Oryctolagus cuniculus: one gene and its partner. Each later gene encodes a partner of the first gene's protein in a complex. Links are inferred from orthologs where the notes say so. Each region holds a gene or a part of one and is shown in the gene's direction. Other genes may lie near its edges. The genes, in order: IMMT and CHCHD6.

Region 1 (15,907 bases):
GACCCGAGTTGAGCCCCTGCCACTTATGTAGAAGACCAGGATGGAGTCCTGGCTCCTGGCTTCAGCCTGGCCCAGCCCTGGCTTCTGCAGCCATCTGGGGAGTGAACCAGTCAATAGAAGATCTCTCTTTCTCTTTATGTCACTCTTCATTTCAAATAAATAAATTAATGAATTAAAAATATCTATAAATCACGCATGGACAAAGGCATATTAAAAAGATCAACCTAGTTTAAAAAGCGGACAAATGATACACTGACAAATCACAGAAAAGGCAATAAAAATATATATAAATCCAAATTTCCTAACAGGTAAGAGGAAAGAGAAGAAAAAAATATGGAAAGAGTATAATCATAATGAAGAGAATTGTGATTAAAATGACACTGAGACACTGTATCTTCACCCAGTGGATTGTCAGTGATAAAGAGATAACAGTGTGTTGGAAAGGTGTGGGAAAATTTATGCTATCATATTACTAGAGGGCAGTTTGGCTAATTTGACAGTATTTGTCATCATGGCAAATTTTACTTTTAAGAATACTTTTTAAAAATTGACTTGGGGCCGGCGTTGTGGTATAGGGAGTAGAGTCATTGCTTGCTACAACTGCATCCAATATGGTTGCTGGCTCGAGTCCCAGCTGCTGCACTTCTGATCCAGCCCCCTGTTAATGCCCTGGGAAAGCAGCAGAGGATGGTCCAAGTGCTTGGGCCCTCGCACCTATGTGTGAGACCTGGAAGAAGCTCCTGGCTCCTGGTTTCAGTCTGGGCCAGCTCTGAATCAGCAGATGGAAGATTTCTCTCTATCTGTAACTCTGCTTTTCAAGTCAATAAGATACAAAGAATTGACCTAAGATTGTCTTTTCAGTGTTACTCAGGCAGCATTATTTATGATAACAAAAATTTAGATGAGACTTCAGTGTCCATCAGTAGGAGGTAGTTGACAGTACATTAACTAGCATCCATAAATGGATCACTTGAGTTGTAAGATCCACTAGGAGGCTTTTCTTATTTTTTTTTAATTTTTAATTTTTTAATTTTTTAAAAAATTTATTTGACAGAGTTAGAGAGACAGAGAGAAAGGTCTTCCTTCCGTTGGTTCGCCCCCAAATGACCACTATGGCCAGAGTTATGCCGATCCTAAGCCAGGAGCCAGGTGCTTCCTCCTAGTCTCCTGGTCTCCTACGAGGATGCAGGCGCCTAAGCACTTGGGCCCTCCTCCACTGCCTTCCCGGGCCACAGCAGAGAGCTAGACTGGAAGAGGAACAACCTGGACTAGAACCCGGCGCCCATATGGGATGCCGGCGCCGCTGGTGGAGGATTAGCCAATTGAGCCATGGTGCTGGCCCTGGCTTTTCTTCTATTTTTAATAGGTTTTTCATACATTTATATACAATATCTAAAATATATATTTATATATTTATGTATTCTTTTTAAAAAATATTTATTTGAAAGAGTTACACAGAGAGAGAAGTCTTTAATCCGCTGGTTCATTCCCCAACTGGCTGCAAGGGCTGGAGCTGGGCCGATCCGAAGCCAGGAGCCAAGAGCTGCTTCCGGGTCTCCAACGCGGGTGCAGGAGCCCAAGGACTTGGGCCATCTTCCACTGCTTTCCCAGGCCATAGCAGAGAGCTGGATCAGAAGTGGAGCAGCCAGGTCTTGAACTGGCACCCATATGGGATGCCAGCATTTCAGGCAGCAGCTTTGCCCGCTACACCGCAGTGCCAGCCCCTAAAATATGTATTCTAGAATGAGCCTTAGTAAAGAACAGGGTGTATGTTTGGGGTGTCATTTGTAAAGATGGTAAAGGGCAGGAGAATGCACATTTGGGTAAATATGCATAGAATATCTCTGGTCAAACTGATGGCAGTAGTTGCTTATGAAGAGGGGAACTAGGTGGCTGGGAAACAAATTTGTGGAAGACTTCACTCTATACTTTGAAGTTTGATTTAAAATTTCAGATTTTAAATATAATACTAGGAACTTTAGTTATAGTGAAATATATTTTGCAAATATATATGGGTATATATATGGCTCACTTGAGTTGTAAGATCCACTAGGAGTCTTTTCTTAATTTTTTTAATTTTTAATTTTTTAATTTTTAAAAAAATTTTTTAAAAAAATTTATTTGACAGAGTTAGAGAGAGAGACGGAGAAAAGGTCTTCCTTCCATTGGTTCACCCCCCAAATGGCCACTATGGCTGGAGTTACGCCGATCTGAAGCCAGGAGCCAGGTGCTTCCTCCTGGTCTCCTACGAGGGTAGAGAGCTATGATAAAAGAAGAAACAGGGGTAAAGAAAAATGTTAAAAAGTACTGATGTGAATTTGGGTGTTCTCAAATTCTGTTAAAAGCAGTTTAAAGATGTTCAGAATTCTACACATTAATAATTGAATTTTTTTTGAAAAAATGATTTCATCTTTTTGAAAAAGTAGAGTCAGATCTTCCATTGTCTGGTTCACTCCCTAAATGCTCACAATAGCTGGGGCTGGGCCAGTCCAAAGCCAGGGTCCAGCAGCTCCATCCAGGTCTCCCATTTGGGTGGCAGGGACCCCAGACACTTGAGCCATCATCTGCTATCTCCCAGGAAGCTGGATCAGAAGCAGAATAGCCAGAGATACGAGCATCTCAAGGAGCAGCTTAATCCACTGCACCACAGTGCCTGCCTTGAAATATTTGTAAATACCAATTATGTCTGCTTTACATGTTTTAAAACATTTGGTTTATTTTTTGATTTTTCGAGTTAGATTAACATGAGTTAGATGTTTACCTCTACACTTTGGCAAATAGAATATAAATTGCACCTGTGATGCTAGAATAATTTCATATATCTTGTGATCATGGAATATGTTTTCTTAAAAGTAAAGATACTTAATTTTTTGTTAATTTAGTATGTATTTGAGAGAGAAAGAGAAAACCCTTGTATCCAGTGGTTCACTCCACAAATTTCTGCAATGACCAGGGCTTGATCAGGCTGAAGCCAGGAGACAAGAACTGAATCCATTTCTCCTATGTTGAGTGACATCCAAATTACTTGAGCCATTAACTGCTGGTTTCCAGGGTCTGCATTAGTAGGAAGCTGGAATCAGGAGCCCACACTGGAATCGGGCCAACATAATTGTGTTTTTTTAACTTTTATTTAATATAAATTTCGAAAATACAACTTTTGGATTTTTTCCCCCCATAACCACCCCCCACCTGCAAACCATCCCATCTCCTACTCCCTCTCCCATCCCATTCTTCATTAAGATTCATTTGTAATTATCTTTATATACAGAAGATCAACTTAGTATATACTAAGTAGAGATTTCAACAGATTGCACCCACACAGACAAAGTATAAAGTACTGTTTGAATATTAGCTTTACCATTAATTCCCATAGTATAACACATTAAGGACAGAGGTCCTACATGGGGAGTACGTGCACAGTGACTCCTGTTGTTAATTTAACAATTGACACTCTTATTTATGAAGTCAGTAATCACCCGAGGCTCTTGTCGTGAGTTGCCAAGGCTATGGAAGCCTCTTGAGTTCATAAACTCCGACCTTATTTAGACTAGGCCATAGAGTGGAAGTTCTCTCCTCCCTTCAGAGAAAGGTACCTCCTTCTTTGATGGCCTGTTCTTTCTGCTGGGATCTCGCTCACAGAGATCTTTCATTTAGTCATTTTTTTGCCACAGTGTCTTGGCTTTCCATGCCTGAGAAACTCTCATGGACCTTTTTTAGCCAGAGCTGAATTCCTTAAGGGCTGATTCTGAGGCCAGAGTGCTGTTTAGGGCATTTGCCATTCTATAAGAGACCGACATACTCTGATACAGGTGGTGGGCATCTTCTCTGCTAGGCCAAATGCCTGCTCCCTAAAATGTACTTTGAAAAGAAGGTTTGTGTTTTTCCAATGTTCCTTAGATACAGTTAGTTATGGAACCTGGTTAAAGCATTTTCCCTGTTATTGCAGCTTGATTTCTACTTGGTATAAAGAATATTTTGTTTATGGTTACAATAAGTTTGAAATTTCAAGTTGATAAGTTTTAAATGGTTTCAAGTTATCAGTACCTTCCCAAATAGTATTTAAGTGCTTGTTTGCTTAATTTAAAGGATCCATATATTATTATTAAGGAACATCTGCATTTGTATGTTTTAGTTGGATTAAAAAAAAGTCACAAAATATTGCCTTAAGTATGTTCTATGTATAATATAAGAATTGGGCTGATTATCTGGAGGTAAGTGTTCTGAACATTTACCACATCTGGTAATATTTTTTTTCTGTTGGCTTTTGGTTTAATGATACATATACTAGAATTAACCAAGAATGAACTTTGTAGATTTAGATGAATGCCTCTAGGAATTGACTGTCTACAAAGTTAGCTTAGAGGTGGGAACTTTGGGTTTTTGATAAGTTAAGCTGAGATTGGAACTTTTGCATGAATGGATGTGTATATAGCCTATAATGCTTTGTATTTAATTGGACTCTAATTTTTCAGATATCTAAATTAAGTAAAATAGACATTTTATACTGTTGTTTTTTTCTTGCTAGTTAAAGCATGTGGCAAATCCCAGTTGTATTTGAGCAATAGTTAGCATACATGGCACTTAAAAATATTGATTGGTCATAGTCTCATAATTCTTTTTAAAAAATATTACTAATAGGAGTCTTGGTGCAGGAAGCATCACTGTTTCATTTCTAAGAATATAAATGTCTCTTGACTTTGATTTCTGAAAATAAAATTTTTGTTTACTGAAGACATTTAAAATAAAGGTATTGTTTCTGCCTTACCAACTCTAAAAATGCCCCACATTTCTTAACTCTATCGGTTGCAATGTTTTTTTCTCCTTTAGAGTTGTCTCTGCGGGAAATTTGTCCTCCGTCCATTACGACCATGCCGAAGATACTCAACTTCAGGCAGTTCTGGGTATGTAGTATGTCTCGGCTTTTGACTGTGTGTGTGTGCGTGTGTATGTGTATGTGTGTTTTCCTGGAATATCGGAATAGCTGCCTAAAACCTTTTAATAAGAAGTATATACTCTAGAGTTTTGCTGTGGTATCTTTGGAGGGACCTTCTGGAGCACTGTTGTATTTCTGGGTGAAAAATTTTTATGATGCCTTTTGGTTTTTTGATAATCAGCATCCAGTGGAGATGCTGCCCCTTCCCATGTGCCATCTTCTGTTCCATGGCAAATAGATTTATATGCAGAACTCAGCATATTGTAGCTTGAAAAAGTGTTCTGTTTGATATTTTATGATCTTTTGTAAAGGATTAATTTTATTGTATTTACAATATATAATTAAGGGAGAGGAGCCTTAAAAGGTCATGGTAGTTTTTTTTTTTTTTTTTTGAGTTTAAAGGAAATTGCATAATTTGAATATCTAGAGTTTTAAGTGTTGAAGGATAGATTGCTTCATTCTTTCTCCCTTAGATACTGTATTCTAAAAAAATTTAGTTATCCCTATATGTTAGGAGTTTTTTGTTGCAGACTTGTTGAAAAATCAGAAAAATATGATGTGCTACTGTGGTAGTAAACTTGGCTGCTGTGATCTGGATCAGTGGTAGAGAAGTAGATGTTACAGATCAGAGTTCTTTGATTCTCCTAAGTTGGAGAATAGATACAGGAAAGCCAAGAAATATAAATGTGTTCCCCATTTCTTTGATATAGGTTGACTGCTGGCAAAATTGCTGGAGCTGGCCTTTTGTTTGTTGGTGGAGGTATTGGTGGCACTATTCTTTATGCAAAATGGGATTCCCATTTCCGAGAAAGTGTAGAGAAAACCATACCTTACTCAGACAAACTCTTTGAAATGGTTCTTGGTTCTGCACCTTACAGTATTCCACTGCCAAAGAAGCCGGTAAGAGGTTTGTTTGTTTGTTTAGCATTTCAGTTTATCCTATGTAAGGCTTTTAAAAGGAGGTTCTTTTCATCTTGAAAATATTTTGGAAAAACAAATTGTAAAGTTTTATTATAACTGTAATTCAGTACAGCCTGTCAGAGGTACTTCATTTCTGTTTAAATTGAACTGGTAGTAATCTATAAGGTGAGTGTTTATCCTTTTGGACATGCATAAGTGCATACCATGGGGAAAATAATTGTGCGATCCACAAGGGCAAATAGAGGAGCAGTATAGGAGGAAGTAACCCTGGTTGCCCTGTGGATCGAAGGGGAATCTGTCAGTCTACGTTGTTGCAGCCGTCAAGCTCTGACTTGACAGCCGTAGATGTCAAATGGTCATGACGCAGCCCACATGTTACGTTAGCAATGGCTTCTTTCAGAGCGTGAAACAGTCACTGAAGTTTCAGCTACATTTTGATTGGCTGACAGAAATATCTTTCATTGTTCATGAGGCTTTGTACATACTCTTCATTTTCACTCCTTTTTCTGCATCAGAATTAAACTTTTTTTTTTTTTTTTTTTTTTTTTTTGACAGAGTGGACAGTGAGAGAGAGAGAGAAAGGGTCTTCCTTTGCCGTTGGTTCACCCTCCAATGGCCGCCGCGGCCGGCGCACTGCGCTGATCCGAAGCCAGGAGCCAGGTACTTCTCCTGGTCTCCCATGGGGTGCAGGGCCCAAGCACTTGGGCCATCCTCCACTGCACTCCCTGGTCACAGCAGAGAGCTGGCCTGGAAGAGGGGCAACCGGGACAGAATCCGGCGCCCCGACTGGGACTAGAACCCGGTGTGCTGGTGCCGCAAGGCGGAGGATTAGCCTAGTGAGCCGCGGTGCCGGCCAGAATTAAACATTTTTAAAACTCAACTATTTCTTCATTTAAACATAGCTTCTTGTAACAATTTATTAAAGAGTATGAATTTTGGGTTTTTGATATTGGGCAATTCTTCATGCGATGAGGCTAGACATGGCTAATCCATTCATTCAAAACTGGATGAGCTTCAATTCTCCAGTAGGTAGAATGATGTAGGACCAATTTTGTAACAAAGATGATATTTAGAAAATCAAGTGTTCCGTGGTTGCCTGCCTACCCCACACTTCAGCCATCCTTTTCTTTCTTTTTTTCGATCCATTGACTTTTATTACAAATGTACTTGATCACTTGGCTTCAAAAGTTTAAAATCAATACCCTAGTTTCTGTAGGCCAGTACACAGCAAACTTTTACAAATTAAATACCTAGAAATTTGACCAAAATAGTAAAATCTGATGAAAATTGTGAAAATCCTTAATCTCTTCAAAAGAGTATAGTCTTCCCAGTTCTATTATACAATATTAATAATATTCACCATTTTTAGACTAGGTAGCTAAATTACATTTTTCTATTAGCATAAGAAAACTCTTACTAATAGATATTATTTGTATATGATCCAGTTAAGTTTGTGAATGCCATCTGATTGCAATATAATCAACTATCTTTAATTGAATTCCAATTTATACTTATTTAAGAATTTGTATAGTTGGAAAGGGATACAGGTTATTCTACAACATAGGCTGTGATAGTGCTGTTTTTCAAGGCAATAAGTATTTGTGCCAAAATGAAATTATTTTCTTTAGTCAGGGGTTAAAATTACTAGCAGCTTTCTTCATTACCTGAAAAATCAAATTGGAATAGTTATCCATATCTAAATGTGAAGGCCTAAAAAAACATTGATATATTTTCCACTTTGAGTCAAATTTCAACCCCTGCACAAGATAACTAGAAAGTGAGACTTTCAAGTTTTTTTTCTTTAATTTCCCTGTTGGCTTTAGCTTCTTTTCTTTTTTAAAGATTTATTTATTTATTTGAAAGTCAGAGTTAGAGAGAGGAGAGGCAGAGAGAGAGGTCTTCCATCCGCTGGTTCATTCCCCAATTGGCTGCAATGGCCGGCCGGAGCTGTGCCTATCTGAAGCCAGGAGCCAGGAGCTTCCTCTAGGTCTCCCACGTGGGTGCAGGGGCCCAAGGACTTGGGCCATCCTCCACTGCTAACCCAGGCCACAGCAGAGAGCTGGATTGGAAGAAGAGCAGCCGGGACTGGAACCGGCGCCCATATGGGATGCCGGCACTGCAGGTGGCAGCTTTACCCGCTGTGTCGTAGTGCCAGCAGTTTATTGCTTTCATAAAATAAAACTGTGCATTTTATTTCAGAGTATCTGCTTTATTACCTGTATGATTATTTGTGTAGTAAGTGTTTTCTCAATACTTACTATGTAGACATTAAAACTTTTTTGATAGACATAGAATAAGACCTGTATGAATGGATACTAATGTTATATTCATAGATGGAACTTAATGTCAGAAAGATGTTATTTCTCTTATGTGTCTCATAAATATGTTTTTACGGTATGTGTACATAAACATACAAAGAAATAGGTAAAGAATTCTAATGACATTTTCTAGAGGGTGAGGTACCAGACCTCATGATTTTAAAGTTCATATGGCAGAATTCATGATGTACAAGACTAGCCAAGAAAATTTGGAAAAAGGATGGGAAAGGGTCAGAAAACATTTGCTTTCTACCTATTATGTTGCTTTAATCAAATCAGTTCTTGACAACAGGAATAGAAATTAGAGGAATAGCACAACTACTGGAAATAGATTTTAGAAATAGATTTTATTCATACACGTTTATTTTGAATGTGAATTGGTAGAACTGTATGTGAAATTGATCTGTTAATATCAAAAATATAGCACCTTGATCCAGCAGTTCCTTTTCCAAGAAATTATCTTGCAGATAACATACAACAGCACTTTTTATTTATTTGGATGTTCATTGATTCAGTGTTTGTGAGACAAAATAAACAACTGGAATGTTGAATGGTTGACTAAATTCTGAGATAGTCTCTTTTTTTTTTTTTTTTTTTTTTTTTTTTTTTTTTTTTTTTAAGTTTTAAGCTTTTTATTCAGTGAGAGAAATGTATAGGAGAGTGAGGGCCCTATCTAAAAGAGAGAGGGAAATCTGGGTTCATACCAAGTACCAGGAGCCAGCCATGTGGAAGAGCATGGAGGGCCAGGAAGCATGGGGTGGGTGGCCTGAGGGCCATGCGCCCCAAAGGTGCAGGACAGCAAGGCCCGCAATGCACAGGGGTGGAGGGAGAGGTTTCAGGCCGGGGCTTCCTGAGCTAGCTGGAAGGGAAAGGAGCAATGAAGAGACCATGTAAAACCACTGATGTATGCAAGTATTGCTTTGCTTGTTTCAGTGAGCCTGTGTTTCCTAATTTAGGAATGATAATGTTTTATTAAAAATAAAAGGGATATATTTCTTGTAGTTTCCTGTGGGTAAGTAGTCATCTTAGGGATATCTGAGACATGCTGCCAGGTTCTGACAAAATGTGAGACATCACAGATGGTAAATAAAATATTTCTGTTACTCCTTAACTTTCTCTGGCACATCTCTGGAAGTCTTTTATGGATAGTACCTTAAATCTAAGGCAGGTAGTAACTGGAAAAGAGAAAAGCAAGCATTACTCACAAATTGATGTGTAATTGCATGAATCCTGGAGATTAAAGAAACAAAAACTGATTTTCATTTTTACTCAGATTCTGTAGTAAACTTTGTTTCTGACACTGTAATTTGATTTAGAAAGTAAATAGAAACACCTGCTTGTTGTATTTGTAAAAGAATCTTTAAGGGGAAGGGCATATGTATACTTTATTGTTTGTCCTAAAAGAACCTTTTGTTAGTACTAAAATATGCATTAGTGATTTGGAATAGAATTTTTGAACTGCAAATTTTCTAGTAATGATGACTTTTCTTACTGTGATTAATAAAATGCTTTTGTTGTAAAGCACTCATAATTTCATATTAAAAGCCTGAAAGACTTGACCTTTGAAATATTATAAATTGTTGTGTGCTGTCTTTTAGAAACAGTATTATATGTAAATTTTTTTTTTTTCCCCTCAAGATTCAGTCTGGTCCACTAAAAATCTCCAGTGTATCAGAGGTAATGAAAGAATCTAAACAGCCCGCCTCACAACTTCAGAAACACAAAGGAGATACTCCAGCTTCAACAACAGGTACTTCTATCTAAAACCATTCTTTAAAAATTATGGGGAAATGAATTGTTTTGATGTATTTGTCAAGAGAAGGCCCCCGGGGAAGGACTCTTCTGGTCCCCAGCTCTCACAAGTCATTCTTGTGCTCAGTTTCAGAGTTGAACATAGCATTGAGCTTTATTATGAAGAACTGAGTGAGGAAACAGTATAGGTTGTCTGGCCTGAAACATATTTATCTTTTTTTCCCTCTGACTCCTAGACTTTTCGCCTCTTTGGGTTTTAAGATTTATTCTCCCCCACCCCCCACCTCTTTTATCTACCTCTTCAGCAGTTCTTTAAGTAATCAAAGTGTCTTTTTGTAGTTCCTGCAGATATATTTTATCTTTGGGTTTCCCAGTAAACCCACCCTAATTTACAACTTGCCTAACTCTAACATGTTCAACATGAATTCAGTCTCCTTGGCTTTCTCCATAGTGAAACTTGTCCTTGATTCAATCAGATGTTTGTTGGCAGATGGTTCACTTAGTGTTATGTGCAGTCTTCTAGGCACCATTGGGTATAGTAATCAACAAAATCATTTTAGAAACAAAAAACCTCTGCTAATATTTCTTGGTGGGATTAAGGGAAAGAGATCAAGTAAAATGTCAGTATGAGAAGGGGAGTATTGCAGTTTTAAATGGAGTGGGTGAGAAAAGCCTCACTTGGAAAGTGTTACTTGAGGAAAGGCTAGAAAGAGAGAAGGGAGTAAGTCATGTAAAAAGCTGGTGGGGAGGCATCCCAGGCAGAGAAGCTAGTGGAAAGAGGCTTATTCAAGTGAGAAGCAGATAACGCTGGAGTAGAGTGAGTGTGGGACGCACAGCAGCAAATCCTACCAGAGAGGGAGCAGAAGGCCTGTTGTGGCAGTCAGTACTTGAAGCAGTGCTAAGAGATTTCATTTCTGAGTGGTGTGAAGAGGTGTTGGAGGGTGCTAAGCCAGGAGGCTAATACTTGACTTGAATTTTTGTAAGATCACTCTGGCTGTTGTGAACCAAGAAGGGACTGAGGGCAGAAGCAGGGAAGCTAGTTAATGAGTTTTTAACTGAGACCTTCAATTTAAAAAAGGAAACTGCATCCATTGGTTCCTCCTCCCATTCCGTCCCTAGAATTACTTCTTTTTCTTTTCCATCAAAACTTGTCATTAAAGTTGCAAGCCCTTGATTTTTAAAACTCTCTATGAAGTGTTTCTATTAAATGACTTCTGCTCCTAATTTACTGCCATCACTGTGAACTTTTCTTCTTGTATTTGAGTGTCATCTTGTTCCTGATCAGATGTCTTCTTTCAGTATCTACTATTCTTCAGAGTAATTGAAATTATTCTTTGGTCCGGGCCAGTGCTGTGGCTCAGTGGGTTAACGCCCTGGCCTGAAGCGCTGGCATACCATATGGGCGCCGGTTCGAGTCCCGGCTGCTCCACTTCCGATCCAGCTCTCTGCTGTGGCCTGGGAAAGCCGTAGAAGATGGCCCAACTGCTTGGGCCCCTGCACCCACAAGGGAGACCCGGAAGAGGCTCCTGGCTCCTGGCTTCGGATCAGTGCAGCTCCGGCCGTTGCGGCCATCTGGGGAGTAAACCAGTGGCTCTCCTCTGTCTGTGTAACTCTGACTTTCAAATAAATAAATCTTTAATAAAAAGAACAATTACTTGTGACACATTTTAAAAAGAAATTATTCTTTGGTAAATTTTGCTTTCTTTTGTGACCCTTCTTTATTACAGACTCTTTTCCTTCATTATTCTCTTTCCATGTTACAGAAATCTGATGTCTACTTCCTACATGTTTTTTTTTTTTTAAAGATTTATTTATGGCCGGCGCCGCGGCTCACTAGCTAATCCTCCGCCTAGCGGCGCCGGCACACCAGGTTCTAGTCCCGGTTGGGGCGCCGGATTCTGTCCCGGTTGCCCCTCTTCCAGGCCAACTCTCTGCTGTGGCCAGGGAGTGCAGTGGAGGATGGCCCAGGTGCTTGGGCCCTGCACCCCATGGGAGACCAGGAAAAGCACCTGGCTCCTGGCTCCTGCCATCGGATCAGTGCAGTGCGCCGGCCGCAGCGGCCATTGGAGGGTGAACCAACGGCAAAGGAAGACCTTTCTCTCTGTCTCTCTCTCTCACTGTCCACTCTGCCTGTCAAAAAAAAAAAAAAAAAAAAAAAAAGATTTATTTATTTATTTGAAAGTCAGTTACACAGAGAGAAGAGGCAGAGAGAGAGAGAGAGAAAGAGAGGTCTTCTCATCTGCTGGTTCACTCCCCAGTTGGCTGCAACAATTGGAGCTGCGCTGATCCGAAGCCGGGAGCCAGGAGCTTCTTCTGGGTCTCCCACGGGTGCAGGGGCCCAAGGACTTGGGCCATCTTCTACCACTTTCCCAGGCCATAGCAGAGAGCTGGATGGGAAGTGGAGCAGCTGGGACTCAAACCCCAGGCCTATATGGGATGCTGGTGGCACTACAAGCGGCGGCTTTTCCCACAGTGCCGGCCCCATACTTCCTTACATGGTAAGGATTAGTACTGTTACTGGAAGTCTTGCCTGAGTGTAATGATAGTTAAAATGCAGATGAATGTTGACAAGACTTCTTTGTCTTAGTGCTTTTCCAACTATCATTCAATTTGTGTGAGTTTGTGTTTGCAGTGCATGGTGCCCCTGTTTGTATATTATTCAGATGTATGGCATTACATGCCTTTGTGTTTTTAAGGAGTCAGATGTAATGTGGGCAGTTCTAGCAGTCGATTATTACGTGTTTGCTCTATTAATCCAAAAAAATATAAATGCCACGAGTAACATATATTTATAGCACCTACAGAGGCAGCTCAAATTATTTCTGCAGCAGGTGATACGCCATCAGTCCCAGCCCCTGCAGTTCAGCATGAAGAACCAGTAAAAATTGATCGTCCTGAAATTACTGGAGGAAAACCCACACCTGTAACTTCAGGTAGTTTAATTATTTATATTTACTGTTTTATAGATAAAGGGCTCATGAGAATTACTTAATGCCTAGGCAACTCTTAGACATGATGTAAGTATACATTTCTACTGCTCTTAAGTTTTTAGACTGGTTCAAGAAATTTGTTAAAAGTCCTAATAACTCTTTGAAACCAAGAAGATTAAGAGTTGATCCCTTATGCATTTTGGAATCATTAAGAGTGATGCAGTTTTAGAATTCTCGCCAGAAAAATGCTCTGCATTGATGTAACTGACAAGTGTGAACGATGGTGTGAGCTGTGAAAATTGTGTGCTGAAATTTGATTTACTCTTATTTACTTTTGCTGCAAGAGGAAGCATCCTCATCTTCTGTAAGGGAACGCCCACCTGAAGAAGTTGCAGCTCGCCTTGCACAACAGGAAAAACAAGAACAAGTTGAGATTGAGTGTATGTAAATCCAACAGCTTCTCAAGTCCTTATCAACTCTCAGTTGCTCTCAAACCTCAGCACAAGTTTGTCGTCTGACAGTCGGGTTTCTTTTTCTTCAGTGGCATTGCTCTGTTCACCACTTTAATTTCATCCCTTGTGTTTTTCACATCCGAATTTCTTTTGTGCAGAGTACAAGGCTATTAGTATATAGTTGGTGAACATTCCAAGTAATCCATGATCTTTTTCCGTTTGTTATGGCTAGTGCTAAAGATTCTTTATGCTCTGTGGGGGGGTGTGTGTGTGTGTGTATCAGAAATTGTGTATGTTTCAGTGACTTGCCTAAGAGTCTTTTAGTTGGTAATGAATGTGTAAGTACCTCTGAAGGTCAGAACAGCTCACTTTCTGAATGAGCGCCCCTGCCTCTGGACTCGCCCTCCAGTACTGCACTTACCTGGCGGTGGTGGGAGGTGGGATCTTCTGTATGGCACTGTTTCTAGCGATAAGCAAGTATATCCCTTTTTGTTTCACTTTTATGTTAAGGCTTTTGATGGTTTTAAAAAGTAGATAGCTAAAAATGTATTTTTCCTTACTGAACAAAGCACATGGGACACAATTTATTGCACTGTGCGGCAGATATTAATGTCTGGGGAGATGTCGTGAGCTGTTGTTTTAGATTCATCTAGCAGCTATTTGCAGTTTTTGATCTTTCCTTGTTACTGTTTGTTCTGCCTTGACGGGCTCCTCCTTTGCTTCTACTGCATTGGTTCTGTCATACTCTGAGGAATCAAGATGTTAGGGTTATGTAAAAGAGTGGAAGAGACAGAATGATGAGGGGTTAGGACATGAGTTTGGCTACCTGAATTTGGGTTTTTGTCTTTTTTCATATTGTTCCGAGTTCTTGACTGTGTGACACATGATTGAGAATTGTTGAATAGTTGACTTTTAATAGGTGAAATATTTCTACATTTTCCACCTTCTTAATTTTTCCAGAATCCTCTACTGTTTCAAACTGAGTTTATTGTTTTTTGGTGTGTGTTTTTTTCTTCCTTTATACGTAAGCACCTTGAATTAAGGTATAAATATGAGATGGAAGTATCTGCTGTTTCATCTCCCTTTTTTCTTTGTCCAGTTCCTTTTGTCTTTGTGAGTGGAATGAAAGTTTCCATGATTTTGTTTGCCCCTCAGATTCCCCCAAACTTTATGTGTGCGTGTGTGTGCTTGTGCACATGTGGGTGTGTAATTTTTACCCAGGGTCAGATCACAGTGAGTAGACCTTTGAAGAGGGCTTGAAGGAGCAGGTAGCCTCTCAGCTGTCCACTTGTTGTGGCTCCTGTGAAATGGCTCACGACTGTATGCTCAGATGTCCATATTACCACAAGCCTGTTGTGGGAACCACATTACCATGTTTCCCTCTCTTGCCTCGTTATGCCGCCTGCTCTGTAGTCCACCTTCAGTCTCACATTGATTGTGTGGTTTTTCCTCATTGTTAGCTTTCTCCTCATTTCTTTGTTGCATAGGTATCACGTGTAGCACTCCAGGTTCTGTTTGTTCATCTCTAGCTTAGGCTTCTTTTTCTCAGAATCACCTTTTTTGTTGTTCCACCTAAGATACATTTTGGTCACCTCTGATATAAATTATTAAATTAGTTTTCTCATTGGCTTTCCTTAAGTGACCATTTTTTCATATTAATATGAAATAATGCCTTGCTTTACTTAAAAATTTTGTTTCAAAGTTTCTGTTTGACATTCTTGAGGCATCAGAAAAGTGATCTTAATAGGAGACAACATTGGTTTCTGCTGTTTCTGGAATCCTTTGTAGAAAAACACTGTCCATTCCAATCTGCCTTTGCTCTTTTCGTTTGCATGTTTTCTTGTTTGTCTATTCTTTTCCTTAAGGTCTTTGCTATGTACTACTTTGAAAGTAGTGCTTCTTGCTGAGGATGGAAATGCACACCTCTTTTTTCATGTGGTCTATGTAATTGTTATTTAAAATGAGAAAAACTGGTGATTATGCTGAATTTATATCTTCTATGCACCTATAACATGATTCTTCCATTTGAAATATGTTAGCTATCTTAACCAAGTTTTTCCCCTTAAACCTAAAATATTTTGTATTTTCAAAAACTTCACATATAAATAGAAGAAAAATAGTGTAATAATCCCCGATAGATCTTCATCCATTTTCCATTATTAATATTTTACCATACTGTTAGTGAAACTTTTATTTCCTAAATTTGAATACTCTGCATTTTTAAAAAACACTTTTGGGGAAATGAAATGGAGGACTCAGTAGGAGAGAAAGAAGTTGTTTAAAATAAAGACAGTTCTAAGAGGAAGGATTTGATTTTAACTTTTCTGTTTTTTTAAGCTCTAGCCAAGAGCCTAGAAGATGCTCTGAGCCAAACTGCTTCCATCACTCTGCAGGCCATTGCTGCCCAGAACGCTGCGGTCCAGGCCGTCAATGCACACTCCAGCATACTGAAGGCTGCCATGGATGATGTTGAGGTAAGCCAGGGACTGATTTCTTCCTCATGGGTATCGGCTTTCTCTCGCTGAGTGAAGACAGGCTAGAGTACTTGTCACTAAAAAACAAACTGAGAGAAGCCTTTAAATGTCTTTGTAAATGAATTCT
Region 2 (16,339 bases), on another chromosome or scaffold:
GAAGCTTAAAACTCTGAAATGCAGAAGAGGAAATTGGGGCCAAGGAAGCTGATCCCGACTTTCTGCTTGAGCCACTTATGCTTTTCAGCTGATTCATTCCATCTGGAGGCTTTGTCTCGCACTGGGAATTTCCTGGATTTGAGGGCGAGCAGGTGGGGACCCGAGCACAGCGCTGTGGAACAATGTTGTCTGGACTCCCCCTTCTGTTTCTGCAGTGACACACGCACAGGCGTGCACACACACACACACAGCCATTCACTGTGATGTGCTGCACAACACATGCCCTGATGCAGACACGGCACACTCACTGCACACGCGCAATCCTGCTGACAGTCCGGTGCTGGCACGAACAGATGGCCGCTCCAATGGGGTACTGGAGGAGGCTTGAATACAGGGACCGTCCACAATGGCGCGGGCAGAGCTGGGTTTACTGAACGTACACCCAGCCCAGGCAGCTCGAAAGTAGCCATAGCTATGCTGCAGCCTTCAGCAGGGCCCGGCCTGGAGGTGGGCGTGTCACCCCGATGGTCATGCTGTCCCAAGCAGTAGCTTCCTGGAGAGATTTCCTTTGTGCCACATGAGGACAGAGTCCCTTTTTGCAGGGACGTCCACCCAGCGTGGTGACCAGGTGGGCAGGTGCAACGCTCAGAGGCAGTGTGCTGGCACCAGGAGGGGAGTGTCATCACCATGCTGTGTGCGCCAACAGGCAGGGCTTTGATCCTGGGTGGACCTAGACCTTCACCACGCTGCCCACCACGTGGGGGAGCCTGTGCTTCCTGCTGGCAGATAGACCTCAAAGAAGTAGTGAGAGGGAGCGCCTGTTGTCTGCCAACTTCCTGTTGGAAACACACAGTGTGGATGGAGCAAGACTGTTATGCTAATAAATATGCCTGCCGTGAGAAACAGAAAGCCAGAGAAAGGCGTTTTCCCAAACCAACAATCCCTTCTAGGGACTGGGCAGTGATGAGGGTGACGTAGGACCTCCCGAAGACTGCAGGCCCGATGAAGACCACCACATGGGCCCTCCTCATCTGGTCCAGGTGGGCTTTCAGGGGCAGCCTCATTACCAACCATCTCCAGGGCGGCTCCAGAGACCCTCCACTGTGGCATCAGAGAGGGCTTCTCACAGCACAGCTCGGGGCAAATCCCTCCCCTGCTCCCAAAGTCAAGAATTCTCCTTTGCATGCCTCTGGGGCAGAACTCTGCACCTGGCATTCAAGGCCTTCATCCTCGCGAAACAACCAAACTTTCGAGAATTCCCCATCAAATCCTATTCTCTTTGTACCCTGGGCCCCGACATGTCCATATCCTCCCCCACGTCCATCCTCTCCTTAGCACCTGTTAGTCCACTGCTCTCTAACAAAGAAATTCTTGGCAAGGGTCCAAGGATGGATTTGGGGGCGGGGCGTCTATTTGGACTGTTTGAAGCAGGCCCAAATACTTTTGCAGGAAACTATTTAATGCAACTCAAAGCACTAATGACTCAGCCGAGCCTTTTATTGAAGATTAACCTGGAGATGGAAGAGAAGAATTGGTCACATCATGAAGAAGAAAATCTATTCATCTGCCACAGTGGCATAATAAAAATAGATATTTGGTCTTTCTGCTCAATTCCTGGAACAGAATTCCTAAAACCCTTCCAATTTCCTAGGTGATAAGACTATATTTTGTTATTCATAATGAGCCCCTTTGGGGCACACTGGGGTTTATGCTAATGGGGTGACTCAGAGTGGGACTCCTAGACAGTCTCAGGATGGGGGTGCCGGTAGCCAGAAAGATCAAATTTGGGATTAGAGGGTAGGGGGCTTTCAATCCATCCCCCTACCTTCTGGGAGGGGCAGAAGGGGGCCTAGAGATTAAGTTCAATGAAAGGTCTAGGACAGATTCAGAGAGCTCCCGAGTTGAGGATCAGGTTCATGTGCCAGGAGGGTGGCACAGCCTGACTCCATGGGGGCGGAGGCTTCTGCCTGGGACCCTTCAAGATCTTGACCTATTTATACCACACTATCTGGCTGTTCAGTTATATCCCTGTGATAAGGCATAAGTATAGTACTTTCGTGGGTTCTGTGAGTCTAGTGAGCTACCTAACCTAAGACAGGGAGGTGCTGGGAAGCTCCGAACTGGTGCTCAGCTGGGTGGAAATGCGGCTTGTCTGGGCACCACATGTGTGGCTGGCATCTGAAGTGAGGGGCAGTCTTGAGCAATCGAGCCCCGAATCTCTGAGCTCTTCTCTAATCCTGGGAGTGTGAGAATTGATGTGGAAGACACCCAGGTGATGTCTGAGAACTGGAGATGGTAGTTGATAAGAATAAACTACATAACTGATGTCAGGGGGGGAAAAATTATGCTTTTGATGCCAGAAGCCATTGCTACCACTTTCAACCATAACCTCTCTTCCCAAATTTTCTCTCGCTAGCAAATTTCTATCTTATCTCCTTCCTTCTCTCCAAACTCCACTCCTCCAGCTGAGCTGGCTCTGCTGCTTCTTCCTACTTCCGCCTCTCAAAATCCGCGCAGGTTGTACCCAGCTGAGCAAAAGCCTCAACGGGTCACCTCAGCAATTTCAAGCATAAAAACATCTCCAGTTCAGCTGCTTCCAGTGCTTCAGGCCTGCGGGGAGGGAGGGGAACAAGGGGCTCAACTGCTCCCATCCCACAGCTGAGCCCCAGGTTCAGGAAGGCGAGGACTAGCAAAGAGCTAGGAAGGGCTCGGCGCCACCTGCTCCTTTAAGCCCTTCTCCTCACTGGAGTCTGGACTGTGGGCTCACCCACTCTTCCAGTGAGCTACAGTGGCAGCCCTCAGTCCACCTCCTTTTTTCCCACCAGGCCTCCAATCCTCACCAGTGGTTTCCAAACGTTAGCCCTGAGGAAGTTTTTAATCAGTGCACAGTGAAATGGAAACGGGGACAAGTGAACAGCGTGGCAAACCATTTACCTTCAAAGGCATGTGCACGCCAGCATCACTGGGTGATGATTTTACCACCTAGAAACACATCTTGCTAAGGCAGAAGACCCATGGGGTATGGTTACTGTACAGCGGAAGTCACGAATTGGCTGTTGTCATGACACATCTGTCCATAGGAACGCACTGGGACTGTCGTCCCTCAGTGCTATCTTAGTGTGGGAAGTCTCTTGGTTGTTCTAAGCATATTTTGCGTAGATAGGTCTTCGCAGGAAGCCATACAGGATCAGTGAGTTGTTCACTCATCAGCCAGCTGTTGGCACTAGGGCTTACTTGTTGGTCTCTTTCCTGCTCCTCCCGGGAGAAAATACTGCTCAGCCCCTGGAGGTGGCTGGGGCCGTGCAGCTACTTCTAGCCATGCCATGTCCGAAGGGGAGGGAATTCTGTTTCCCAGGCCTGAGAATGGGGGTACTAACACTCCCAGGGGGATTTTGAGGACTCAATACATTAGTCATAGATTAACCATGCGGAAAGCAGGTGTGCCCGTTCCGTGGCGCCTGGCACCGAGAAGGTGCTCAAAAACAGCCATTTCTCCTCCCCTCCTTTCCTCAGCATTCCTAGGCCACCGCCTCTACTCAAACCCGCATTCCACTGTGGGGGTCTAATGTTACATCATCTCCACTTATTTTCTCCGTGATTTTCCCACGTGTGCAGTGTGGCGATGGAACCAAGGGCTGTCACGAGGCTCATCTGTGCTGCTGTCAGTGTAACCCCACTCTACGTTTGTGGAATTCCAAGACTCCCAAAGGACTTCCCACAGTGCAGGACCGTGGAGGTGAGGCCCAGGTAGTGTTACGACCACCCCTTGGCTCTGGCCTTTATTGTGTAGAATTAGTTCAAGGTGTTAACTATTTCATCATCTGCTCCAGAAGAAAGTGTCAGCCCTTTCTCCAATTGTTCCGAATCCCATTTACAGTGGTAGAAGCCATGCAGGCATCCAGGAGCCTTTGAAAATATTTGGAACAGGTAGTGGCTGTCAGTAGGGCCTCACTTGGATTTTGTTTGCCAGCTGGTGAGCCTCCCTGAGCTGCTATGGTGTGGACAGCTGATGGTTCACAGATGCCCCTTTTTCTGAAGAATCTTCCTCAGGTGCCCGGGGTGGGAAATGGAAGGCAGCCCCCTTTTCCCAAATTGGGGCCATCTTCTACTGCTTTCGCAGGCCATAGCAGAGAGCTGGATAGGAAGCAGAGCGGCTAGGATTAGAACCGGCACCCATATGGGACGCTAGCACTGCAGGCCGGGGCTTTAACCCGCTGTGCCACAGTGCCGGCCCCTACTTTTTTTTATTTATTTATTTTTGCTCTTGTTTCCTGTGCTTTTGGTGTAATGTTGGAAAGAGTCATTGCCAAGAGCAACGTCAAGTAACTGTTTCCGTATCTTCCCTTCTAGGAGTTTTATAGTTTCAGATCTTACATTTAAGCTTTTAAGCCACTGTGAGTTGATTTTCCTATATGGCCTAAGGATCCAATTTCACTTTTTGCATACTTTCTTTCCCCTACTGTGTGGCACTCTCATCAGAGATTAGTTGACTTTATTTGCATGAGGTTATCTCTGGGCCCTTTTTACTGCTCTGTTGGTCTATATGTCTATATGTTATGCCAGTACCACACTGTTTTGATTATTATAGGTTTGTAATATAATTTGAAATCAGGGCATGTTATTTTCCCAGATTTGTTCTTTTTCATGATTGCTTTGGCTATTTGGGGTTGTTTGTGGTTCCATAATGAAATGTTAGGATTTTTGAAGAATTTCTGGGAAAAACACTATTGGAATTTTGAATACAATTGCACTAAATCTGTAGATTGCTTTCGGCAGTGTGGACATTTTACCAATGTTAATTTCTCCAATCCAAGAACAGGAGATATTGTTTCATCTATTAGTGTCCTCAGCAACACTTTTCATCGTCTTATGGTTTTCAGTGCACAGATCTTTCCACTCCTTGGTTAGGTTTATTCCTAGGTATTTTATTCCTTGTGATGGTATTGTCAATGGTATCATTTTTAAAAAAGATATGCTTACTTAAAAGGCAAAGTAACGGTGCGGGGGGGGGGGGAGTGAGAGAGGAAGAGAGATGGATCCTCCATTCCTTCATTGGCTGGTTCACTCCAGCGGGGGGTAGACCAGGCCAAAGCCAGGAGCCTGGAACTCTTGGGTGGGTGGGTGGGTGGGTGGGTGGTGGCAAGGGCCTGAGCACATTAGCAGGAGGTTGGATCAGAAATGCAGAGCAGCTAGGACTCCCAAAGGCACACTCTGAAATGGGATGTGCCTACCCCAAGGCGCAGAGTGGCTCAACCTGCTGCACCACAATGCCCACTCCTTTTTTTTTTTTTTTTTCTTGACAGGCAGAGTTACAGAGTGAGAGAGAGACAGACAGAGAGAAAGGTCTTCCTTCCATTGGTTCACCCCCCAAATGGCCGCTATGGCCGGCGTGCTGCACCAATCAGAAGCCAGGAGCCAGGAGCCAGGAGCCAGGTGCTTCCTCCTGGTCTCCCATGCAGGTGCAGGGCCCAAGCACTGGGCCATCCTCCACTGCCTTCCCAGGCCACAGTAGAGAGCTGGCCTGGAAGAGGAGCAACCGGGACAGAATCCGGCGCCCCGACCGGAACTAGAACCCGGTGTGCCGGCGCCGCAGGCGGAGGATTAGCCTAGTGAGCTGCATGCGCCGGCCAGCCCACTCCTATAATCTTTTCTGGATAGTTTGTTGTTAGAAATCAACAATAGATTTCTCTCTGTCTCGCTCTCTCACTGTCCACTCTGCCTGTCAAAAAAAAATTAAAAAAAAAAAAAAAAAAAGAAATCAACAATAGGGGGGGCCGGTGCTGTGGTGCAGCGGGTTAACGCCCTGGCTTGAAGCACCAGCATCCCATACGGGCGCTGGTTTGAGTCCTGGCTGCTCCACTCTGATCCAACTCTCTGCTATGGCCTGGGAAAGCAGTGGAAGATGGCCCAAGTCCTTGGGCCCCTGCACTGGCATGGGAGACCCGGAAGAGAATTCTGGCTCCTGGTTTTGGATTGGTGCAGCTCCGGCCACTGTGGCCAATTGGGGAGTGAACCATCGGATGGAAGACCTCTCTCTCTCTCTCTTTCTCTCTCCTCTCTGTGTAACTCTGACTTTCAAATAAATAAATAAATAAATAAATTTTTAAAAAAAAGAAATCAACAATAGGAGGAATTTTTGAAAATTCACAAATGTGAGGAAATTAAACAACACATTCCTGAACCACCAATGGGACAAAGAAGGAATCAAAAAAGGGAGAAATTTATTTATCTGGAGACCAACAAAAATGGAAACAAAATATACCAAAACTTACAGGATGCAGCAAAACTGTTTTTAAGAAGGAAGTGTATAGTGATAAACACTACATGAAGAAAAAGACAGATCTCAAATAAACAACCTAACTTCATACTTCAAGAAACAACAAAGAAAGGACAAACAGCCAAAGACAGAACAAGGAAAGAAGAAAGATCAGAGCAGAAATAACTGAAATTTCCAGAAATCAAGACAATGAACAATAACAAAACTCAGAGTTGTGTTTCTTAAAGATCAACAGAGCTGACGGCCTTTAGCTAGACGGACCAAGAAAAAAAGAGAGAGAGAGTACCAAGTAAAACTAGAAATGAAAGGAGACTTTATAACTGATATCACAGAAATACAAAGGATCTCATAATAGATGTCTTCACTATGAACCATTATATACCAACAAACTAGAGAACCTAAAAGAGATGGTCACAGTCCCAGGTATATACAATTTAGCAAAACCGAAACACCAAGAAAGAACATTTGAACAGAACAGTAGCAACTAAGGAGATTCAGTTATGGAAAACCCCCCAGCACAGGAAAGCCCAAGACCAGATAGGAACGCATCCTTCCTTAGCTTCCCCCACCTTGGCCTTGACCTGCTTTCTTCACTTTCTTCCCCCGGGGAACTCCCAGAACAAACCGCTGGCAGCAAATCCCCATGCAACCCCGCACAGAAGGAGGAAATGGGGCTGTACCCTGAGTGAGGCCTCTACTAACCACCCCAGCCTGGGAATGTTCCCGGCTTCTCTGTACTGAGCTGTTTTCAGCCTCAGGGCATCTCACTGGTGTCTCCCCCTACCCTCTCCCCTGCATGCCCTTCTGTCCAGGTTGCCCAAAAGGGGCTGCCCATAATTCTTCCTGCTTCCGGAAACAAGCTAGAGTCTCTCAGCCCCAGATTCCAAGCTGAGTCTCAGGGTCACTTTGGTGAATCAACGCCATTGAGCAACGGAGAGGAACGAGAGGGGGCCTCATGTAAGGTAGTGGCTACGAGTGGCAGTCCTCTGCACCAGTACACATAGGTCCCGGGGAGAAGCATCAGCACCACATTCGGTCCAACGCACTCAACACGCACCATCTATGCTCCTTGGACAACGTCCCTCAGACCTTCAGGGCCACTGCTGCCTGTCTCTCAAGGCATCTAGAGTAACATCCCAACCCCGACCCCGTCTTGCGAGACCCTCCCCGCTCCTCCGACCTCACGGCCAGGGCTCCCCTCGGCTCCCTCCCTGCTGTCCAGCCACGCCGTGGGCCTCTTTCACGCGTCCCCACGGCCAGGCCCTGGTGCGTGTGGGTTTCCAGGGGAGTTCCTCTCCCACCTTGTCCGTAGGTCTCAGTTCAAGCGCTTCCTCCTCGGTGACGTTGCTGGGACCCCTCAAATTCAGGGACTCCTGTTACGTACGTTATGGCAGAACCATGACGCCATTTTCTGTTTATCACAGTTTAGTTTAGTTTTTTTTTTTTTTTTGCTTGCTTCGGCTCCAACACCGTAAACTTGTGGGAACAGGGCACTCAGTGCCTGTTTGCTGAAGAAATGAAGCCATGGACTGCCAGAAGTTCGCCTCAGCTTCCTGGGTGGGCTTCTTGCTTCAGAATACCTACTTCATCTCTGCTTCAAGAGTGAATTTTCTAAAGCAGGCCCTTGGCCATGCCTCCTCTGCTCGGTAGTCCGCCATTCCAGGCTCTCCTGAAAGCACCCAGCCTCTACCTCAGCCTAACATGCCATCTATGGTCTGACCACCACGCCCCCACGGTGCTCCCTGCATACGGAAGAGGCCTCGGACCGGCAGAACTACAACTCCCAGAAGGCATCGCGCAGCCGCCGCCATCTGATTGGTCGATCTCCGGGTGGCGGCCAATAAAATTTGGTTTTGTTGGCTTGCACCCCGCGACAGCCTGAGTCCTGGGAAGCGCAGGACGCCCACCGCGCGGCGTCTGCCTGGTTGCTCTGGAGCTGTGGAGCGTGGCCGCCCGCCGGCTTCCTGCCCTCCTCCAGCCATGGGGAGCACGGAGAGCAGCGAGAGCCGCAGAGTGTCCTTCGGAATGGACGAGGAGGAGCGGGTCCGGGTGCTGCAGGGCATCCGGGTGAGCGGCCACCTGGGCGGGGGCGGGCGCGGAGGGCACCCGAGGGCGCGGAGGCCGTGGGCCCGGCCTGAGGGACGGTGCAGAGCGAGAGCGCTGCCGGGGGTGTTTGCCGCCGCCGGACGCTGGTGGAGTCCTCCCGCTGTGTGAAGGGGGCGTGAAGCTCGGGAGACGCCCGGGGCCCCCTCCAGGAAGAACCTGCGTCTGGACGCGAACCCGAGGCTGGCGATCTTCAAGCTTCACCGCACTGGCCTGGGGGAGAAGGAATGGGGAGCCGGACACACGGGGAGGCCGCTGGGATACGAGGGAAGCCTGGAGCCGCATTCCAGCCCCGATCGGGGGCATTTTTACGTTTCTTTTGTTGGGCCGCCGCCGCTCCCCTCACCTGCTAGGTGCGCGCGTCTGGTTCTGTGTGCGGGAGATGCAGCCGGTCCCGAGCGACAGCAGCTGCCTTGTGACCGCGGCTCTCAGCTCCCACTCTTGCCCCGACTGCCTGTTGTCCACAGCGCACCCAGAGGGGCACCTGCAGCATCGTGAATCACATCGCGTACCCACCCCTTGCTTACAACCCCCCGAGCGATTCCTAGCCCATCACCATGCAGACACTTCTTACCCGGCCTGCTGACCTCTCACCCCCGGCTAGTTCCCTATTCCCCAACTGCTGCCTATTGGCTAGCCCCTTGTTCTTCCTGGAACATGCCAGCTTGCTCTAAGCACAGGATCTGAGCACCAGCTGGTTTTTTGGTGTGGGTGTGTGTGTGTGGGGGATTTGTTTATTTGAAAGGCAGAGTCACACATAGAGGAGAAACAGAGATCTTCCATCCTCTGGTTTGCTCCCCACCTTGGCAGCACCCCATCCTGGCCTGGGCCAGCCTGAAGCCAGCAGGCAGGAACTGCATCTGTTTGCCCACCGTGGCTGGAGCTCAGGCACTTGGGCCAGCCTCAGCTGCTTTTCCAGGCACCTTAGCAGGGAGGTGGATCCCAAATGGAGCAGTCAGGACTTGAACCAGTATCTCTAGGGATGCTGGCACTGCAGGCTGTGGCTTAACCCTCTGGGCCACGACATGGGCCACAACTGTTGTTTTCCTCTTCTACTTTTTGTTAAGTTAAATCCTGGTCATTCTAGTTAAGTGTCATTTGAGATGCCTTCTTGACCACTGTACGTAGGAAGTGTCTCAGCTCGCTGTCACACATACATTTTCATAGCATTCATCATACTTTGAACTTTTTTTTTTTTATTTTTGACAGGCAGAGTGGACAGTGAGAGAGAGAGACAGAGAGAAAGGTCTTCCTTTGCCGTTGGTTCACCCTCCAACGGCCAGCATACCGCGCTGATCCTAAGGCAAGAGCCAGGTGCTTCTCCTGGTCTCCCATGGGGTGCAGGGCCCAAGCACTTGGGCCATCCTCCACTGCACTCCCGGGCCAAAGCAGAGAGCTGGCCTGGAAGAGGGGCAACCGGGACAGAATCTGGTGCCCCGACCGGGACTAGAACCCAGTGTGCCGGCACCGCAAGGCGGAGGATTAGCCCTGTGAGCCGCGGCGCCGGCCTGAACTTTTTCTTAGTAACTGTTTCGCTCTAGCATGTAAACTCCTTGAGGTGAAGGGTCTTGTCTAATTCTCCCTCTACCCCAGAACCTAGGATGATAAAAGCAACTCATTTTTTTTTTAAAGATTTATTTATTTATTTGAAAGAGTTACACAGAGAGAGGTTCACTCCCCAATTGGCCGCAAAGGCCAGAGCTGTGCTGATCAGAAGCCGGGAGCCAGGAGCCTCCTCTGGGTTTCTCACGCAAGTGCAGGGGCCCAAGGACTTGGGCCATCTTCCACTGCTTTCCCAGGTCATAGCAGAGAGCTGGGTCGGAAGTGGAGCAGCCGGGACTAGAACCAGCGCCCATATGGAATGCCGGCGCTTCAGGCCAGGGCGTTAACTCGCTGCTCCACAGTGCGAGCCCCAGTAACTTACTTTTCAGTGTGTAATGGACCCATAGGTTGTGCCAAACCTTTAGAGAGATCATTACATTTAATTTTCAGTAGTCTTATTAGTAAGGTAGAATTATGTTCATCCATTTTATAGATATATAGGAGAACTGAGGCACTGGAGAGCAGGGATTGAAGCAGGCCAACCAAATGGCCTGTTCATTGAGCTACCATGCCGTACTGTGCCTGTGCATGGCCCACAGTGGGTACTTTGTACATAAGGGTCAAGTAGTTAGATGAGTGCACCTGTTAAGTGGACTGTGTTTAAATGGAATGCATGGAGCTTGGTATAGGTGAGATTAGTAATTAAGTGGCTCCGAGAAAGATTGAGAGATCTGACTTCTAGGCCCAGGTGCTCATTAGTTGTGTGACCTTCCTTGGGTGAACCATTTAGCTTTTGAGCCTCATTTGCCCAGTTTAAAAAAAAAAGATTCAATGCAGGTGTGTGAGAGATGATCCTAGGAGCTGCGTGGGGTAAAGTGGAGATGTGGGAAGGTGTTTAGAGAGCGTGTAATCTTTGTAGAGCCTCTTCTTTGCAGAGTAGAGGGCTTGGCACATTGGGTGCTGTCTAGGTGTAGTACAGTGTTGTCGACTTGGCTGTGGCAAAGATAAAATAGGGAGGAGATGGCTAGAGCTGAGAGGGGCAACGACCTGAATTGGAATTTAGAAAGGCCTCCTTGCTCTGTGTGCCCCTTAGTCTCTTATTTTGGGACATGTTGGAAAATTAGCCTGGAGTTTTCAAAGGTTTAGGTTCAACCTTTGGAGGTGACTTTTTTTTGGGGGGGGGGACGATAGGCAGAGTTAGAGAGAGACAGAGAAGGGAGAAAGGTCTTCCTTCCGTTGGTCCACTCCCCAAATGGCCGCTACAGCCAGTGCGCTGTGCCAATCCGAAGCCAGGAGCCAGGTGCTTCCTCCTGGTCTCCCATGCAGGTGCAGGGCCCAAGCACTTGGGCCATCCTCCACTGCACTCCCGGGCCACAGCAGAGCTGGGCTGGAAGAGGAGCAACCGGGACAGAATCCGGTGCCCCAACCGGGACTAGAACCCAGGGTGCCGGCACCACAGGCGGAGGGGGATTAGCCTAGTGAGCTGTGGTGACTTTTTGAGGATTATATAAGTTGCAGGCTTAGGTTTAGAAATTTGCCCAAGATGTTACTGGAGTTGCTCTGTGATTTTTTTTTTTTTTTTTTTTTTGACAGGCAGAGTGGACAGTGAGAGAGAGACAGAGAGAAAGGTCTTCCTTTACTGTTGGTTCACCCCCCAATGGCTGCTTTGGCCGGTGTGCTGCGGCCAGCGCACTGCGCTAATCCTAAGCCAGGAGCCAAGTGCTTCCTCGTGGTCTCCCATGCGGGTGCAGGGCCCAAGCACTTGGGCCATCTACTGCACTCCCGGGGCACAGCAGAGAGCTGGACTGGAAGAGGAGTAACCGGGACAGAATCCGGCGCCCCCACTGGAACTAGAACCTGGGGTGCCGGCGCCGCAGGTAGAGGATTAGCCTATTGAGCCGCGGTGCTGGCCGACTTCTGGGACTTTAATCCAAATCTTTTGGGTAGAAAAGTCAGCCTTTTCCCACTGTTCCACTCTTACGCCCGTGGCAGCCTGGAAATTTGTGACCTGTTCTGATAGGGACGCTGGTGCCTCACTTAGTTTTTTCAGAGCTTTTAAACTAGAAGGAACTTTGGCGATTGCTTCCTTTCCCACCCAGGCAAACTACTCAGAATACATAACTCGTCTGGAGGTGCACCGAGAGGTACAGGGCCCCACATTAGGAGAGTCCCATCTGTCCTGTTTGTGCACTGGTTGGAAAGAGGAAGAACGAAGAAAAGCAGGTGTGGTATTGGAATGTTTGGTGCAGGAGCTTTTCCTGTTAGCAGATTACCTGAATGTTGAGGGGTTCGCCTTGTCTTCAGACAGGCAAGCAAGAATCAGTAAAAGAGATGGTGAGGGTGACACAGGAGTCACCAAAATGAACAAATGCACATGCAGTGGGGGGAAGCAGCTGAAGAAGAATGTTTGCCCCACTCTTACAGAGAAAGTCACCTATTCTGAAAGACTCCTTGAAGGCAACCCCAGAGGCAGGGCCTAGACAATGCCCTAGTCCCCTTAAAATGAAGCACTAGGGCCGTGTTGGTGCTTTAACTAGTGTGTTCAAGCCCCAATTCCATGGGAGGTAAAAGTTTTAATTAGTGCAAGATGCTGCAGTTATATTCACCTTTATTCAGACCAAGCATGCATGAAATACCTAGTTTTTTTTTTTCCAACCAGTACATTTAACCTCATTGTCCTATAAGAGAAGACACACATATGACAGTGATGTCCTGTACATGGTTTTCCTCTTCCCATCCCATGTAAGCAACCATCTTTGGCAAATGGTTGTCAACGTCCAAATTCCACGCTGTCCTCCAGCCTCGTCCCCTTTCCAGCCTCTTGGCTCCCCAGTGTTCCAGTCCCTTCTGGAGCCTGCTTCTTCTGCCATGTTCCCACACTCGGTACACCTCCATGCTAGACAACTTTTCCATTGCTCATTGTTCCTATGAGGCCGATTGTGGACCATTGTTGAGGGGCAGAGCAAGAAAGGTATAGTCAGCCACACAAAAGGCAGTCCCCAAATGTGGCAGTGGCAAAGAGTCTACATGCCAGAGCACTGTACCCACAGCTGCCACGTACCACCTCAGCAAATTTTTTAAAAATATATTTTATTTTAGTGATCTTGCATCTGCTGGTTCGCTCCCCAAGTGGACACAATGGCCAAGGCTGAGACAGGCCGAAGCCAGGAGCTCCATCCAGGTATCCCATGTGGCTGGCAGGAGCCCAAACACTTGGGCCATCTTCTGCTGCTTTTTCCATGTCATCAGCAGGAACTGGATCGGAAATGGAGTGGCTAAGAGAAGAACCCGGTGCCCATAGGGATGCTTGCGTCACAGGCAGCGGCTTCACCCTCTTTGCCACAGCACTGGCCCCCAGCGAATGCTCACTGTGAACATGTTTCTTGGACTGGGTCTAGCCTTGCAGAGACAATAAGGAACAAAGCCAGGGCCCTTTCCACTCTGTAGACAACCTAGTCAAGGGAATGGACCAAAAAGAAAGTTAAAACAGCTGGAAATGTGAAAAAGGAATAAAAAAGGGTACGGGGAAATGGGGCTCATCTGCCTGAGGTGGGGTGTCAGGTAATGCCTCCCTGAGGAGGTGACACGGATGGTATGACCTGAGCTGCTCTGGCAAGAGTGAGCCTGCGCCAAGCAGCGTGCCAAGTACGTTCAGATGCTAATCCTGTGAGGGGCTCATCATCCCCGTTTCAGAGGTGAGAAGCAGGTTCAGTGAGATGAAGTGACTCAAGGTCACGGAGTGAGCTGGTGGTAGCCCTGGAGGCTCAGGCCCTCCGACTCCATAGCCTTTGTGCTTGGCACCACCAGGGATTAGGAGGTTGGGCAGTGTAGGGCAGGCTTGGAGGCCAGCCTGGGCGGTCCTGGATGTTATCCTGGAGGCAGTGTTCTGGAAAACTAGTATCCAGTGATGCTGATTTTTTCCCCTTCTTTTTTAAAAACAGCTCTAGTGAGATGTATTTTACATATCATTAAATTCACTCATTTCAGTATTTTTTAGTACAGTTACAGAATTGGGCACCCATCACTAGAGCTCAATTTTAGAACGTGTACAAGACCTAAAAAGCTATCTTGTGCCTATTTGCAGTCACTTGTCGTTAACACTCCTAGTCCCAGGTAACCACTAATCCTCCTGCCTCTTTAAATTTCCCTTCTCTGGACATCGATGTCTTTAGTTTGGCTTCCTTCTCCCAGCACAACGCTTTTGCTTTTGGCTTACTGATGTTGTGTATATTAGTAGTTAATTCCTTTTCACCACTGAATAGTGTCCTGTGTATGGACATACTGCATTTTGTTTGTTTACTCCCTTATTGATAGACATTTAGTTGTTTCTAGTTCCTGGCTATTATGAGTAACGCTGCTGTGAACATTCGTGGACAAGTTTTGTGTGTGTGTGTGTGTGTCGGGGGGGCACGTGTTCATTGTTCATGGATAAATACCTAAGAGTAGGCTTGCTGGGTTGTTCGATTTGTGAATTTGGTGCATTGTTAAGTCTAACTTTTAAAGAAACTGCCCAAGTGTTTTCTAAAGTGATGGTATGATTTTATATTTTCACCAACAGAATATGAGGATTCGTTTCTCCACGTCCTCACCGATACTTATTGCTGTCTGCCTTTTTGATTATTGCCAATTCTAGTGGTTGTGAAGTGATATTGCATTGTGGTTTGAATTTGCATCTCCCTAATAGTTAATGATATTGACTATCTTTTCATGAGCTTATTGGCTGCCCATGTGTTTTCTTTGGTGAAGTGTGCGTTCAAATCTTTTTGTCTATTTATAATTGGGTAATTTGTCTTCTCATTACTGTGTTATTAGATTCCTTTGTGCTGGGTTTAAACCTTTTATTAAATCATGGCTTATAATTTTTTATAGAAGATTTTTGTGACTATGTTCATTTAAGATTATTATCTCTCTTTTTTTTAAGATTTGTTTGTTTGAAAGGCAGAGTTACAGAGAGAGAAGGGAGAGCTCTTCCATCTGCTGTTTCACTCCCCACATAACTGCAATGGCCAGGGCTGGGCCAGGCTGAAGCCAGGAGCCTAGAACTCTATCTGGGTCTCCCATGTGGGAGACCAAGGACTTGCGAGGACTGGGCCCATCTGCTGCTGCTTTCCCAGGTGCATTTGCAGAGAGCTCCATCAGAGGTGGAACAGCCAGAACTTGGATCAGCTTCCATAAAGGATGCCAGTGTTGCAGGCAGCAGCTCAACCAGTGAGCCACAACACTGGCACCTGCAAAATTGTTTTCAATATGTGGCTTCTAATTTCGTAATAGTTTCTGAAGCCCAAATGTTTATAATTTTGATAAAGTTTACTTACCAATTTTTTTCTTTTATTTGTTGTACTTTTAGAGTTGTATCTCAGAAATCTTTGCCTAACTGATGGCCATGGTAATGTCTGTTTTTTCTTCTAAACTTTTTTTAGTTTTAGTAGAGTCTTTTTAAAAATTTATTTGACAGGTAGAGTTATAGACAGTGAGAGAGAGAGAGACAGAGAGAAAGATCTTCCTTCTGTTGGTTCACCTTCCAAAAGGGTGCTGCGGTGGAACTGTGCCAATCTGAAGCCAGGAGCCAGATGCTTCCTCCTGGTCTCCCATGCGGGTGCAGGGCCCAAGCACCTGGGCCATCCTCCACTGCCTTCCCAGGCCACAGCAGAGAGCTGGACTGGAAGAGGGGCAGCCGGGACTAGAACCGGCTCCCATATGGGATGCCGGTGCTGCAGGCGGAGGATTAACCAACTGAGCCACAGCGCTGGCCCCCTAGTAGGGTCTTTAATGTGATCCATTTTAAGTTAATTTTGTGGATGTTGTGAAATAAGGCTGTTGGCAAGATTTTCTGTAAAAGAGCAGATAATAAATGCATTAGGCTTTGTACATGTGCAAGGTCTCTGTTGCAAATACTCATTTCTGCCATTGTAGGTGGGAGTAACCATAGACAATATGTAAATGAATGGATATGCCTATGTTCTAAGTAAGACATTTGTTTATGAAGTGAAGTGATAGGTTGGATTTGACTCATACACAGGAGTTTGCTGAACTCTGTTTTAAATCATTTGTTTTGTTTTGTTTTGTTTTTAGGGATGTGAGTATCTCAGTGAACTTTGTTGATAAGACTATTCTTCCTTGTTGAATTACTTTGAGATCTTTGTGAAAATCCATTAAGCATAAATGTAGCTTTCAGTTCTGGACTCTCAGTTCTGTTCTATTAATCTCTATTTCTGTCCTTATGCAAGTACTGCATTGTGATGTTTATTTAGCTTTATGCTGAGTTTCAAAATTGCGAAGTGTAAGGCCTCCATCTTTGTTCTTCCTTTTTGAGCTTGATTTGGCTGTTTTGATTGTTTACATGTCTATAAACACTTTAGGATCGGTTTGTCAATTTCTGCAAAAAATCTGTTGGGATTTTGATAGAATTTATGTTGA

What was found.
Region 2: IMMT (region 1) and CHCHD6 share a complex: the UniProt entries of both Homo sapiens proteins name them as parts of the mitochondrial contact site and cristae organizing system (MICOS) complex. The link is inferred for Oryctolagus cuniculus from reciprocal best matches to the Homo sapiens genes IMMT and CHCHD6.

Annotation. Positions count from the first base shown.
Region 1 is NC_091433.1:116,574,382-116,590,288, forward strand, and holds part of IMMT (MICOS complex subunit MIC60), read left to right. Parts: intron 1-4,827; coding exon 4,828-4,901; intron 4,902-5,643; coding exon 5,644-5,833; intron 5,834-9,810; coding exon 9,811-9,922; intron 9,923-12,719; coding exon 12,720-12,857; intron 12,858-13,198; coding exon 13,199-13,294; coding exon of another isoform or gene 13,295-13,302; intron 13,303-15,643; coding exon 15,644-15,780; intron 15,781-15,907. UniProt on the Homo sapiens protein: Component of the MICOS complex, a large protein complex of the mitochondrial inner membrane that plays crucial roles in the maintenance of crista junctions, inner membrane architecture, and formation of contact sites to the outer membrane.
Region 2 is NC_091441.1:109,683,204-109,699,542, forward strand, and holds the start of CHCHD6 (MICOS complex subunit MIC25), read left to right. Parts: upstream 1-8,132; 5' UTR 8,133-8,257; coding exon 8,258-8,344; intron 8,345-16,339. UniProt on the Homo sapiens protein: Component of the MICOS complex, a large protein complex of the mitochondrial inner membrane that plays crucial roles in the maintenance of crista junctions, inner membrane architecture, and formation of contact sites to the outer membrane.